2 linked regions of the Struthio camelus genome follow. The main gene of each other region encodes a partner of the protein of the gene in region 2 in a complex. Links are inferred from orthologs where the notes say so. Each region holds a gene or a part of one and is shown on either strand. Other genes may lie near its edges.

Evidence for each region.
Region 1: the proteins of PTPN3 (region 2) and MAPK12 are in contact, whole or in part, in a crystal structure (PDB 4QUM), measured with the Homo sapiens proteins. The link is inferred for Struthio camelus from reciprocal best matches to the Homo sapiens genes PTPN3 and MAPK12. Residues at the interface, in NP_002820.3 of Homo sapiens: Arg655, Leu671, Asn674, Arg675, Tyr676, Lys677, Asp678, Val679, Arg751, His812, Ser843, Ala844, Gly845, Ile846, Gly847, Arg848, Met883, Gln886, Thr887; in NP_002960.2 of Homo sapiens: Met182, Thr183, Gly184, Tyr185, Val186, Val187, Arg189.

What each region holds. Positions count from the first base shown.
Region 1 is NC_090942.1:22,878,982-22,886,181, forward strand, and holds the start of MAPK12 (mitogen-activated protein kinase 12), read right to left. Parts: upstream 3,264-7,200; 5' UTR 3,070-3,263; coding exon 2,954-3,069; exon of another isoform or gene 2,877-2,953; intron 2,863-2,876; exon of another isoform or gene 2,398-2,862; coding exon of another isoform or gene 2,280-2,397; intron 2,174-2,279; coding exon 2,044-2,173; intron 1-2,043. UniProt on the Homo sapiens protein: Serine/threonine kinase which acts as an essential component of the MAP kinase signal transduction pathway.
Region 2 is NC_090943.1:70,023,493-70,031,629, forward strand, and holds the start of PTPN3 (tyrosine-protein phosphatase non-receptor type 3), read right to left. Parts: upstream 3,158-8,137; 5' UTR 3,142-3,157; coding exon 3,096-3,141; intron 3,049-3,095; exon of another isoform or gene 2,894-3,048; intron 1-2,893.

The sequences.
Region 1 (7,200 bases), on a different chromosome or scaffold from region 2:
GCGGGGATGATGGAGGACACAGCAGTTGTGCTACACACTGGGGAATGCCATCATGAATGGGAACTGAAGGCAGGAGAAGCCAGAAACTCCAGGCCTTATTGTCTCCCTCTAAATCCATCCTTTGGTGGCAAATACAAAGAAGGAGGTCTTTGACAGAAGGGTGGTGGATCAAAAGAGGGGGGGCTGAAAATCCTGCTGAGGAGTGATACTGCCACGTTGGCCTAATTTTCGAAGGGCAGTGTGGTTAAGGGAGTAGCACGGGATCAGCAAGGGGCTAGAAATCCTAAAGGGCTTTGCTGCTATTCCCCATTCACAGTGGTCAAAATGCCTGGTAGAATGGTATGAGACTGGAATGGAGGATGGAAATTCTCTAGAAGGGTTGTACTGCCATTTCAGCCTCATCTTGGACGGGTGGAGCAGTTGGTTTCTGTCTCCACAATGCCTATGAATTCCTTGCATGACCATTTACTCACTCGTTGCTCTCTAACGAGTAAAGTCATGATGAAACTTTTCCTCAGTACCTAGACCGAATTTTTATTTCTGTGGTCCAAAATGTTTTCTAAGACTCTAAGTTCTTCCCTTCCTTCCTACGTATTCATCTGTAACTTGTACAGATTGCACTCATATTCCTCAGTGTGTGTTTTCTTCTAGACTCTTTTGATTGCCAAACAAGTCTATGGAAGGGTTCCAGAGTATTATCCTGAAGGGCATATGCAGCACAAAAAGAGCCAGTACTGGAAAACGCTAGCCACCTGAAGAACAAATTATTCTGAGAAATGGAAGAAAAATAATCTCAAAATTCGGAAGACAGTTAGGAGTTTGGCAACTGCATGAGCTGATCTGCTCCCAAATGTTGAGTACAGTAAATGCTGAGAGTATGAAAGACTCTGTATGACACACAAGTTAAACATTAACTCTTTAACATATATACAACAATGGTAAAAAGCAGTTATTTCTAAGGATTCCTCAAGTAAAACGATCAAATATGTTAAAAGAGTCAGACTAAAAGGTAAACAGGCACACGGGTTCATAAGCCTACAGTAAGGTCTGTTTTCTCCAGACAGCCGGGATATCGTAGAGATTATTCCTCGAAATGAACCTAGTTGTTGCTGGTACTCAGAATGCTAACACTGCAACGTGCAATGGCAACGACTGGCTATTGCTATTACTACTGGCTTCTCTCATTCTCACCTTCCAGCTCTTAGCTCTGCTCAAATAGCCTCCATGGAAAACTATAATCTCCCACATCATTAGCATTTTAAAATAGATTCTTGTATCTATCTTTTTAAAAGTCACCTGAAACTCTTTCTTCACATGTACTCTTCAGAAATAGCATTTAAAGCCACTAACTGTGATCTTCCAGTCCCACCCCGGGATCTTTCTGACCTGGTTTCCATTCATGCTTTCATCCCACAAAACTGTTTTCACACAGATCTCTCCTCCTTATCTCAGCATCCAGGAAGACACATTATGCCTCTAAAGCAATTTTTTTTACTCATTCGTAAACTCTTCCCATTTCCCATTAGTACAAACCTGAAACTTTCAAACGCTTCATGAAAGGCAAGACCAGACCTCTTCCTCGAGAGACAGGCGTGCATGCCACATCCAACTTCAAGCAAAGAGATGCTAGCAGTACAGATCCACACTCTCCCACTCTCCTACATCTCATGCGTGTGGTGATCGAGATTCAGATTTCGGGTCTCTTAATCTCTCTCCCTCTAGCTTTGAGCACAAATCCCACCGCGGTCCTAACCTTCTCCACCCAACCTCACGCACATGGACTGCAATGAAACTGCGTCCCACAGGACGCTCCAGTTTGCTTGAACTGGTATTTGCAGGTTAAAAGGCAGACGGACAAAAGACAGACACACAGGTCTTGCTGAAAGACTCCTGAATCCTATGCAGGTACTCAGCTGCCTTGCCAGGGCTGGTGTATTATGGAGGCAGGGGACAGCAGATCAGGGGACAGCAGCAGATCACACTTCTTTTTGGTGCCTGCAAGCCGCAGCAACCTTGAGGGGATCTGCTAATGACTGAACTCACATTTTCGTGCTTCATGTGTTTCAGGAGGCGCAGCTCTCGGTAGGCTCGTTTGGCGAAGAGTTCAGACTGAAACGGGCGGTACAGTTTCTTGATGGCCACTTTGGTACCATTCCTTCCGTCAACAGCTGAGCTTTAAGGGAACAGGAAGAGCGTTTCGCGGGCGAGGGCCGAAGGGGCTGTGGCAAACCCCACTGCCGATAAGCAGGTGCCTATGTTTGGCGCCGCCTCGCCCAGACCTCGACTTTCTACCTGCCGGTCGCTTGGCCTCCCTGCGCCGCCATTTACCGCGTCGAGGGAAAAGGGGGACGCCACCTCCCCGAAAGCCCCTGGCCAGCACAGCCTCCAGGGTCTCATTAGTTTAAACGCTGCCAGACCCCGCGATGAAAAGTTGCCGCTTTTCAAAAGCTTTAAAGACAGGCGGAAAAACAAACAAACAAAACCCAGAAGCGGGTAGCCCCTCGCCGAGGGGACAAACCCGGGGGGCAGCCGGCGCCTGGCGGCGGTGGCTGCTGCCGGGGGGAGCCCTGGGGCCGCGCCCCGGCCCCTGCCCCTTCCAGCGAGGAAAACACGTGTAGGGCGGGCAGGCACGTTAAAAACCACCACCACCACAACAAAAATATCCACACCTCCCCCGCCAAAAGCCCGCACCGGGCGCCGCCAGGCCGGCTGCGGTAAAACACCCGGGAAAAAAAAGTTGTCGGGGAACAAAGCGCAAGCGGCCGGCGCGACCCCCGGCTGCGCGGCGGCCGAGCCGCCAGGAGCCCCACGGCGACGCCATCGCGGCTCCCCACCGGCGGCGCAGCCCCCTCCCGCCTCGGGGCAGGACCAGCCGCGCCGGGGGCGGGGGAAGGGGCCTGGGCAGAGGGGGCGCGTGGCCCCCCGCCGCCGGCTGCTGCTCTGCCCCGCTCACCAGACGGCTCCGTAGGCACCGGATCCCACAGGCTGCAGGTCGCGGTAGCGGTCCCGTACTTCCCAGAGGGTTTTGGTGATCTCCTGCCGGTAAAAGCCTTTCTTGGGGGAGGACATGGTGCTGCAGCCCCCTGCCGGCACCTTCCCACAAAGAGCCCTGGAGGCAGAGGGCGAGGCGAGCGCCGCCGCGCCGGGCTGAGGCGAGGGGCTGGGCTTGGACGGGCTCCCTCAGCCAGCGCCGCTCTGGGCGAGCGGCGCCGGCGGCTGCCTGCCCCCTCCCCCTGCCCCTCTTCCCGCGCACCCTCGGCGGCGGGGAGGCCCGGCGGGGGCCGGCCACGTCCCCCACCCCCGCCGTGACCGACCTCCGGCCAGGGCCCCGCCTGGCGAACAGCGCGCCCGCCGCTTGCCAGCCCCGCGCCTCTAAAAACCAGGCTGGGGCGAGGCGTTTGCCACGCCGGGAGGCTCTGCGGGGAAGGGGCGGCGCAGGCCTGGTGCCCGCCGAGCGGAGCAGCGCCCAGCCCGGCCGTCGCCCTGCGGCGGGGTCCGGCCCGGCCCGGCCCGGCAGCGGCCCTGCTGTGCCCCAAGCGCTCCTGGACGAGGAGAGTGCGGTCCACCCCCGGACAGCCCAACGTGTGCGCAGGGTAAACGGGTCGTTCGCCTGAGCAGGTGCTAAACAAATAGGGAAGGAGGCTAAAGCACAATTCCTTACTGTTTTTTTTCTCTCACGCCATCTCCGTCGTAGCTTGCCTTTGTGCCTTCCTTGCTTGCAGCTCTTTCAATAGCTCAGCCCCGTTTCCCTCTCACATTTGTTTTTTCCTCCCTGTCCCGCAGCGGTGTGGCTAGCGGCAGGTGCCTCTACCTGTCCCTGCTCCGCCGTTCCTGAGCAGGCAGCTGAGCATCTGCGACCCTTCACTCAGAGACCAGGGGTAACATAACTGCCCCAAAGGTGCAGCAGGACGCAGGGATGCTAAGGTGTCGCTAAGGCTGGGAAAGCGAGCGAACCGTTCAGCCGGATCCAGTGTGCGTGCCCAAAAGCAGCCCGGTTGCAGCAGGGTGTGTATGTGCATAGAAACAGGTGCTGAGGCTCTTGCTTGTCTAAAGACGTGCTTAAGATCCATCTGCTTCTCTTGGCGCAGTTGCCTACTGCCTTGTGTTTGTGGATTTGATGGAGCAATATATATGTTATTGTTCTGTAGTTGCAAAGCTCAAGGTCTCTTCTCAATTCTAGTGTTTTCTCCATCAAATCTGTGGCTGTGTTACTTCTGCAGCAGGGTAGTGGCTTGGCGAAGGCAGGTGGAACTGGGAACCGGGAGTGAGGAGTAGGTGCTGGCCGCAGAAAATGGATGGTGAGTGTGGTGAGGAGGCCACCGCTTCCCAGCAGAGGCTTGGGAAACTTGTGCTGTGTTACGTATTGATTTACTGGTGTAAATGAGGAGTAAACTAAGAGTCTTTGCTGTGAAGCTGGAAGCAAATATATCCCAGCCTTCTCTTTGTGAATATACACCTTATGGTTTTGCACTCCCATCCGGGCTTGTTTTGCATTAGGGGTTATGTGCCGAATGTAACTGACTTTTACATGAAACTATTACCTAATAAAAAGTAAATACTACAAATGGAAAGAGGAAGAAATGAGAACTACAGACAAAGGCAAAAAACTGCATTCAGCTATATTCCTAGAGGCCACAGAATGATTTTACTGCAATTAATGCTATTTTGCCGGTAAAATGGAAGAGAATGGGTCAGTGGAGCAGAGAAATATATGATGGTTGTCGTAGGTGGTAGAAGCTGCAAAGACAAAGGGCACGTGTAGCAGCAGCACTGAAAAAAGAAGCAGGGAAGACGGGGCAATCTTTCATGTCTAGACGGAAGGCTATATATACACGGCCACTTCTCGCTAAAACTCGCTGCGTGCATAAGCATTTGACAGTAGCAGAAGGGAGGGGCAAGTGACTGATGGCTTTCTCCCCCCCTTACACCCTTGATTCCCCTCACCGCAGCCCTGAGGGGCTGTCATTTGGTTTGATGAGAGCAGGGCGTATGAGGGAGAACTTCCAAATTACCTTTGCACAGAGGTGTACAGCTGTGGACTTACAGTTTATCCTTATCTCAGGATCAACCCAAAGCTTCAATAGAATTTAATATATTTAAATAGAAACAAGTACACGCTTGACTTGGTTGCTCAGAGCAAGTGGTCCTATGCGTGTCTGGTGTGGTATGAAACTGTTCAAGGAGCAGCTTAGAACAACTGCAGTGCTGGTTTATGGAGAATAGCAACCTTCACAATATTTCTACGGTCAATAGGCCTGGTCCAGCATGCGTAACTACATGCAAGGAACTACTTTAAAAGATATTTTACATTTTCTCTGTATGAATATAATTAAAATACTTGTTCTTTGGGGTCTGGTAAAGCCTTTGTTTCGTCTGACTTCACCCCTGAGCAATGTTGCTGCTGTTAGATAACTCAGACTGGCTGTCACGGGAGTTCAGTTTGTGGCTTAGCTAGAAAGGGGCAATCTGGCCAAGTTTCGTTGCTCCTGTTGCCTTTTTGGTAGTTGCCGTGGGTCCAGACCTTTTTGTATGTAAATATCAGATTTGGAAAAGCAGCCCTGCCCTCCTCCTGTTGTTATTTACATGTCAGATACAGCAGGAAAACATGCTTTCTAAAATTGTCTGCAGAGCAGGGCTGCAAATTTACTAGAGGCCAGGCTGGCACAGTCTAACATCCTTCCATAGTATAGGTGTTTTCCAGTGCTGCTATCTGCAGATAGATGACCTGTTTGACTCCTTGTCTTAGTGAGACTGGAAACCAATCTTCTGACATTTGGCAGGTAATACAAACCTTGTGTCAAGTGTTAGATTAATGATACAGATTTGTTTTTAAAAACATAGTCTCAGAAGACTTTTTTTTTAATTTCTGATTCCGCTTTTATGCAGTGTTTGCCATTCACATGATGGCTAGAGTGAAATGCAGTATGGGTAAGAAGGCTAGAGCAGTGTTGTCTTCCACTCAGTTTTGAGCCGGTCTGTTATTTTTAATGTTAAATATATGTGTTTCTAATACAATGAGGATCAATTCTGCTATTGATCCCTAGCCCCTTTTTCCTCAGTCTAGTTCTGGCAAAATGATGCTTTGTTATTAACTTGTTCCTTTTCAGGGGAGGAAGAGGATGATTTTTATACTGTAGGATGAAAGTACTAAGCCAGCACCAAGCTAACATCTCACTTGTGCAGAAGATCAGAAGACAGAGCAAGAAGGTAGAGAAGATAGAGCAACTTTCTTAAGATATTTTAAATTCAAAGACAAAATTGGCCAGTGCTGGTTTTCCCATGTTTTTCCTTCAGGTAAGATATTACGTATACTTTGCTGTAGGTGGGACGGGGTAACAGCATTGGTCAAATACAAGATCACCCTTCCTCATCAGGTCACACAAAGCAGTCCACATAGAAGAACTGATAAACTTACGAAAAAAAATAGGAAATTAGCACTGTCATATGATGGGAGACTTTATCTAAGAAAAAAACCTTGCAAGTGTCTGTGAAAGGAGTGAGAGGAGATACTTAGAGACATCCACAGCTGCCAGATCTTATACTGGAGTCACAAAATGCCAGAGCCTCAGTATCCTACTGTTCCTGGGTGGCTATATGACATAGCATTTTCCCAAAGACAGTCTGCTACAATGAGACTAGTATGATACTACAGTCATACCTTAGCCCAGGCAAAGTGTGCTTGACAGGGATTTAAAAAGGAGCGCTACCCGATGTTTCTGTTTTCGACCTATATTTATTCTAAAGTCTGCAGAACAAAAGAGAGTAAGAGAATAAGAACTCTTTAAGGCAGCATGTCTGGAAGATAATTAATGATGGGAAGATCACACTTTCTTAATGCCTATCCTGTAAAGGGAAGGTTGGCAAGGTTGTTAACATGAAGAAACATTTGTTTTGTTTTGTTTTTTAAAGTGCCACCTTTCAATATGTTGGAAGGTTGCTATCAGCTGCAAAGTATATGGGGCAGATAGGATGTGTACAGTACCCCTTCTAGTCCCTCCAAGGACTGAGAACTCAATTTACACTCCAGTTGGGACATGAGTCGTTTGTGCTGGAGGAAGAACTGTAAGAGAACAGCGAATAAGCTAGCTACGTTTTCCTGAGGATTTCTGCCTAGGAAAAGTAGTTTTACACTCTGGTGAGAGAGTTTGATGGTAATTCAACCCAGAATGAACTATTTATCAACAGAGTTAAAATGGCCCA
Region 2 (8,137 bases):
AGGGAGAAGGCCTGTAATCACAGAGAGCAGGATGGGGCCAGACAATTCTTGACAGTGAAGTTAAGGGGAGTAAACTGGGGCAGGGTAGAGCATGACTTTGGAAAGGCGACTTGGTAAAGATCTACTCACTCTCTTGACTGAGACAACCCCCACCCCTTGTTTTTCCCCAACTATCCCAACAATAAATAGTGCCTTCACAAATAATTCAAGCCCACGTAGGGTTTTGTTGTTGTTGTTGTTCATTTGCTTTTAATGCAGCTGCCCAACTAATGAGCACTTATAATAAAGCTTCCTGTTGCTACCTTGAAGTAACAAGTCTCATGAACCTTATAAATATAAGCTTGTTATATTCCCTTGCACAGCAAGACTGATTTAATTCACAAAAATAAACAACTTCCTTGTTTTAGAACACAAGTCTATTACCTACTGAACTGCTGATATTGTTGAGTTTTGGAGCCAGAGGTTGGTTTAAGTCTCAAATCAGTTCATATGTGAAATGGTGCCAAGCATTTTTAACATACACACACACGCACCCACACAAAAATCAAGTTTTCCCAAGTAGATCTTACAGTCCCCAATCCTTCCTAGTTCAGCTTTTGTATTCCCGGCTGGCAGGTAAAATATTTATCTACTTCCCTCAAAGCAATCTTAGCATGCTGTGGCAACTGATTACAGAGGAATGCAGGCACAGTGCCAACTTTGCTGCTTTATACTAAAACAGGAGCAAAAAGGAGAGGTTGTTTATAGTGGTGAGATCCAACAAATCTCTCCAGGTTCCCTCACCATTAAGCACTTCACAGGACAGCGGTAACAAGTAACACTTCCCAAAAGGCAAATTCCTCAAAACATAATTTGGAAGGGCTGGGAGAGAAGAGGGAGTGCACTATAGCACCTTATCAAATCAGAACTATAATCACAGTACAGCCAGACTGAAAAAGAGGACAAAAGTCCAGAATTATTGTTTTCTTTCCTTAGCGTTTCTTTCACAACCATGTAATAAACTAGAAGTGTATTTTAAAGGAAAGGCATCAAAACAAAACCTGGTTGAGAACACAGTACTATGTTCTGATTCTGCTGAGGACAAGTCAATCAACCAAAAGCAAGTATTTTGCCAAATCAATGTTCAGGTAAACAGCCAGTTTACCTGAAAACATCAGATTGTCATAAGAGTTTTAAAGGAGAAATTAAGTTGAAATCAATACTTCAAGCAATATTGTCAAGCTTACTTTGCTTTGGTAACTGATTTAGATTAGCTACTTTATTTTAAAAGCTATTAGCTAAACCTTTACATAGAGTCCTAATATTTAAGCTTATACTGAGATTAGGAACAAAGATAATGACCTTTATTCTAGATTACCTACCCTATGTTACACCTCTGTAAAAATCACTCAGCTCAGTTTATTTAATCTTAATTGTTTTTCTAGTGCAAAATGTATCAGGTTGTGACCATGTAAGTGGTCTGCTCATCCACAAGAACTTTCTGAATGTGACATCAATATTTACATATGATGAACACGCTCAGTCTGCAGCTGATCTTTGGAACCAAAGTACAAACTCTGGCCTCTGCCATGTACACTTTTCTACTACTAATAAAATCTAGAATTTCACCTAAGCAAGTTAGTCTCTCAAAAAAAACATGAAGAGGGGAGAGAACACCTTTAGCATGTAACAGAGATTTATTAACTGTTAAATCCAGCCAAACTTCAGATATGTAAGGTATGTAACCTTCATCAGCGTTAAATTCAGGAAGCAGCTACAGCCCTTTTTGAAGCAATATGACAGGAACAGGAATCTTTTAAAAATAAAAGCCATATGCAAAACTAGTCAGAGTAAGTGGTAGCAGAGGTTTTTTAGGGATTGAATGCAGTTACAGGATGGCTGCCTATCCTGAGTTTGCAAACTAAAAGCAGCCACGAAACAACAAGAACCACAGCAACACGTTCGAAAAGGAAGGTTATGACAACTTCACAGTGCAGCACTGGCTGACAAGGCAGTTCCAAATCACGGGGAAAAAACAGAAAGAGAGAATGCCTCCTTGTCTAGTTCTTACCGCATTCATGAAAAAAAGAACTTTTCTTTCCATCGATCTTGGAAAGCACTAGATCAGACACCGTTCAGATGAAAAAATAAATCAGAATTGATAGGACTAATTGAATCAATGATTAACATAGGACTTGAAGAGTATAAGGGGTTCCAAAGAGAATAAGCAGATCAGTCATGAAACAAACTATGAGTAAAAGCATAATGCAATGGGTTGGAACAAAGTAAATAGTAACAAGAATATGAAAGCAATGCAGAAGTGGAGGAGGAAGAAATTATAGATTAGATAAGATAGCAGAGAGTGGTTATCTGCTATTGTTGAAACGATGATGAAAGTTTTTTCCTAATGAACTAGGAGATCAGAGCCAGAGAGAAAGGATTTAGGAAGGGCAACATACTTATGTGTACAGATCCCTACCAGCACCACTTAAAAATATATCTTTCATTAAATATAGACCATCAATTGCTGTGAAGCAGCTTAAGGAAAAAATCAATTCCCTAGGAGATTGTAGCTTGTTTTCCTAAATTTATGAGTCTAGACAGGTTATATCAGATCTCTCTTCATCAGTCCACTGATACCAAGTCTCAGGAATTCAGTGTTAAAATACAACTCCTGTTCCAAGGGCAGTAAAGAAGGGATTAAAAATATTTACAAGCAAAAGAATTACATATCTTTTGGAATAACATTGATAGATAAATTAAAGGAAGAAAAGACAAAATTAACCTTGTCATATTACAGTCAACTGAGAAACCATTGAGGATGACAATTACTTAGGAGCAAAAAGCAGAGAACTGCTTATTTCTGTTGGTAAAACATGCGTTCTGAATTTTTGAAAAGTTTGTTTCGGCTCACCACTTTCCTCGGATAACTGTTTCCAGAAATCCAAACCTCAGAGCACCATTTGCTTCCAACGCCAGCAATTTTCTTACTCTGCAAGCTGAACCACAAACTAGGTTTTAACACTGAATCTAGCAATGAGTCTGGCTGTGCTAGGCCCCAGCAGCTTCACTCTGAAGTGAGCAGTTCAAGGAACTCCTGGCCGACCCTTTCATACCATTGAGCAGAACATCTATGCCATCAAACAGAAAACAGAAGTGCATCTACTGCATCCTCCTGCTGCACTGAAATTGAATGTGGAGAGCCAAAAAAAGTCTCACTAACCAAATAGTAACAATTCAATACTAGGGAACGAGGAGCACGTTCACAAACAATGACCAAAGGTGGTGTTTCCAAAACACCTGAGATATATACTAATTTAGAAAGTTTGCTCTGTCTTATTGCTGAAAAGAAATCTGATATGAATCCTGTGCATTCCCTGCTTGTTAGAAAATGGACTAAATGGCAATAATAAACATTTAGAACAGAGGCTTCCTTTATTTTAGGGCTAGCCTGTTTGGGGATCTTTTGTCCTCCCCCATTCTCCCCCAAGGAAAGCTGTCACCTCAATTATTATATTTCTAATTGTGCAGACAAGAGTTAATTATAATCTAACTATCAATACAGAAAGATGACAGCAATATCAGTGCTGGAAGCAGTGCTATATGTTTGCATATGGTCTGTGATGACTGTATTATGTCAGAAAGTCAGGGAAAAATAGGGAAAAAAAAATCTATATTAAACATCTCTTCTCACAGGCAAACAGAATGGAAGCACCTTATTCCCAACTTAAGTGACAGGTCCTAAAATGGTTAGGTGCTAGGGGGAAAAATAAAAGTATACTTGATCTAGATGCAAAGAAAGAAGATATGAAATGATAAAAAGAAAAAAAAAACCCCTAATCTATAGCAATAATATAGCAGGTAAAAAACAGAAGGCTTTTACTTTAGAGGAGCACTGATCACGTTAACAATTGTTCCCTACTAAATGACTCTTAACAAGCTAGAACAACTGTGTTGGTTACCTCTCTCCCCTTCCCTTCCCCCATCCCCCAGAAAAAAGAAAGAGCCAGAGAACAGCAAAATTCAGACGTAACGGAGAAGGAGTCACTGTAAAAAAATATGCTTATAAAGTATTAGGCTTGGGCTGCAAAGTTGAGCATATGCAATAGTAGCCAGAAAGTTGCTAGCCAAACTCAGTGCAAATCATAATGCAACCAACTAGTCCCTACACTTCAGTTGATATGCAAGTAAGCACATTAGTACACAAGATTTTGAATATTTGTGTTTTTAAGCATATTTTCCCATAAGGAGGCTTACAGGACTCTGTCATCTCCACTAAGAGCTATTGAAGTCCCAGTCTCTAAAGAGTGGGTTTAAAGTTTGATGTTTTCTGATGCATTATACACATTTCATTGATTACAGATCTCACCATGCCAACACAGACCTTAGCATTATTTTCTGAGCAACTACACCACAGAATTTCCTTGGCAAAATTTGAAATGCTAGGTAGCATACCGTTACAAGGGATGTTACAAGCTTACATTCATTTTTGAATGTTTTCTGCAATGAACTGTCTCACAAAAGCAAGAAAAGATTTGCAGTAGGAAGTCCAACCACTAAAGGTTGCCATTTTGAAGAAACCTGGTTAATAATAATAAAGTCATAAAACAAATCAGGCTTCGATCACTTCAAATCGTCTTGAAAGTATATATATGCGATTCATAAGTTTGTCTTAACACGCTCAGTTCATTTTGCAACATAAAGCCATGTACTCAGCCATAAAATCCTCTTCAGTTAGGCATTCAACCTTTGATTTACATATAAACAATGAAGAAAAAAAGTAGTTGGTACAGTTGGTCAACTGTTTTCTGGCTATCTTTGAAACACGGTTTTGAATAACAACCTGATAAAGCAGTGTTTAATCAAGCAAAATCCCCTATGAGGCAACCTGACTGAGAGCTCTTTCTTCACTTTGGACTCTGCTCTCATAGGCATAAAAATAATTACTAATACTAGCATTACGGCCGTCTCTCCAATACAGAACAGCGTCAAGTCCTATCGTAACAGTACCACTGAGCAGTGGTAAACATTTTCACTAGTGGACTAACTTATTTCCCACGTTTATTTTCAGCAGAACAAGATCTGGGCTATTTTAACAAGATTAATGTTATTGTTATAGGATTAAACTATCACCAATACTATAGAAAAACATGGCTATGCATGAATTAAATCACAGAATCATAAAAAAAGTCTAGGCTGGAAGGGAATTCTGGAAACTACCTGATCCAACCTTTGTTGAAAGTAGGGCTTTAAATTAGGTTACCCAGGGTCCCATCAAGCCAAATCTTGAGCATTTCCACCGAGGGAGACTCCAACAAACCTCTGGGCAACCTATTCCAGTACTTAATTGTTTTTCAAGAAATCTGTGAAAAACATTCCAAACACATTAAGAGGAGTACATCGGTAGTTCAGTACACCAAGAAACAGACCCTCAAATCCAATATGCTATCCTAATTATCACGCTGTCAAATAACTCATACTCTAAGTATGAAGTGAAAACTGAAATTTTTGTATTGCAAGAATTATCCACCGCTAGAAGATTGTCATATCTTAACATCAACAACGCAGCAAGTACAACTATTAGAAGCTTATGTCTGCAGAACATTTATTTCACGTAACTACATTTTACTATATATACTTTACATCAACTACAATACCTCTAACTGCTCAAATTATTTGGATATTACTGAATATTTTAGTAACGTATTACTGACCTCTTTCAGTGTCTGCCTCTGCTACTGGTCACTCTGTCCTACCGAATGCTAAAGGCACACCAGGGTGATCACATACTACTAATCCCATCTCTTCCAGCATCTAGACTCACTTAGCTTTGTGCAATGCACAACTTCGCAATGGATTAGTCATGCAAGTTTCTTTATTCAGGGCAGTCCGGTAAGTAGCAAGCATAACTCTGCACCGCTCCCTAAAAAGCGCACAGCATAACTGTCCAATAACTGGGATCCAGATATTTCAGTCTACAACTTTCCTTTATATTTAAATCAGTTACATGCTACATCCTTCACTGGTATCCTGCCATTTTGTGACTATCATGCATTTCATAATTGGTTAATTATTTTATATGCATAATAAGCAAACGTGCAAGTTCCAGAAATCAGCAGAATCAAAAACTCAGCACATGGCGTATATCTTTAAATGCCCTTTTTGGGCATTTTCTAGTCTGCTCATTCTCCTTCGTGCAGCACTTATATAAACCTCAGCTGGCCAAGGCACTCACTGTGCTTAGGGGCCTACTAGCATGACCTTTAAGTCAGGTATCTAGTTTCTCATTTGCTCAGCTAGAATGAGATCAGAATTTGGATTTTGAGCCTTCATGTCACTGCCTCAAGCTATAGCTTTGTATAATAAACCCACAGCTATAACTGCGTTCCAGGGATGACCACACACCTCAAATCATTCAAAAATTAGCCTATTCATGCGTTACCAGGTATATATTACTACCAGCAAGACACATTTTTAACCTCTTTTAACAACAAACCAAGCTAAAGTAGATCTTCAATTCTAAAACCGATGAAATTTGAAAGAGAACAAAAATATGCATCAATCTTCACAAACATGGCTAGGTGCAACACTGAATAGAACAAAGATCATTACTCCTGAAAAGAAATTCAGGAAAGAAAGGTGGTGAACACAATGGAAACTTATTGGTCTCTGAACAACAACTAGCAAAGCTGGCTTTCCTGCAGGTTTTTGCTTTACAGTCCTAAGCTGCCATCTCTCCAAACCTGAGCTGCTCTTCTCTATTGCTCCCTGATGCCAAGCCTTTGACTCTCCAAAACGTTTCAGTACCCGCCCCCCGCCACAGCCATACATCAGGGTAGGTAGAGTGAGGCAACACTGGTAGTGGCTGAGTTCAAGTCAGGCACCTGCTCAGTCATTACCCTGCAGGCAAATTGAGTAGCTGCTGAGCCTCAAACTACAGACCTTTCCTGACTGAGGCTCCAATCCAGAGCCTCTTCTACACTATTTTCTTTCCTATACAATTTTTCATTTAATTCATAGTGAGCTTACTGTCTTTAGATCTAGATCTAAGTTTTTATAAAACTTGCTGAAACTAACAAACAGATTTAGAGAGTAAGGGAGGAGGAACGAACAACAAACATGCTCTTAAGACAACAAAATCGATCCAGGAGGTTAACGAATGATCCAAAGTTGTTGCGGGTCACCTGACAGCACATTAAAATTAAATGTACTGAAGAAACTGAAACTTTCACCTTGCTTATTCGTCAGGCATCAGATTGCCAAAAGGGATCTCAATGGATGGAAAAGAAGGAGAACAACAAACCTAGACTCATCACACTGTCCGGCCTTATCTGCTGGCGAGAAGCACATCCTCTCATCACCTTGAAGTTGCCATCTGATCGAGCCAGTAAAACAGGCTTTCTTTTTCTTTCCCCTCCCCTCCTCGTGCTAAGAGTTCAACTTTACTTTGTAATGTACAGCAAATTGTTGTAAAGCTAGTTTTTCTCCTCAATGCCAGAAAGAAGAGCAAATGAGCTTCAATGGAGGATGTGAGCCATATATAACCAGGAAAGGCTGTTACACAATTCTAGGTATATATCTGACAATTTAAAAACATTAATATGCATACAATTGACCTAGTACTGTTAACAAGTTTTTCAGAGCTTCTTAACATATGGCCCAAAATCTACTTTTGTACTGAAAAGGTCATAATGATCGGCATGCTATCTTTGTCCTAGAAGTTATTTTACTAAACTAGGAAATGGAAGAGAAGAAACTGAATTTGACATTTTAAGTTAATTTTCTGTTTACAAATGTTTGGGGGAAGAGGAAAAGTGGGTAGGAGATGGAAGGAGCAGGGAAGCACACAGGACAAAACAAAAATTACTTTTGCCTTCGGTAAACAAATGGGCACTTAGTATACTAAACAATATGCTGATTTCTCTCTTTCATCCCAGCTTAATACATACATTTGTCTTTTGCTTCCATCTTTGACACCCAAAAGAGAAGTATTTTTAAAAGTTTTCTTATGCTTGGAAAGATTTATTTTCTAGGCAACTAAAAAAACATATGCAGAACAACCTAGCATAAAACATGTCACTCTTTTTAAATAAGCCAAATGCCATAACATACACAAGTTAACAAGTAACAGGGTTTGTAATTGACAATTTTAACAAAA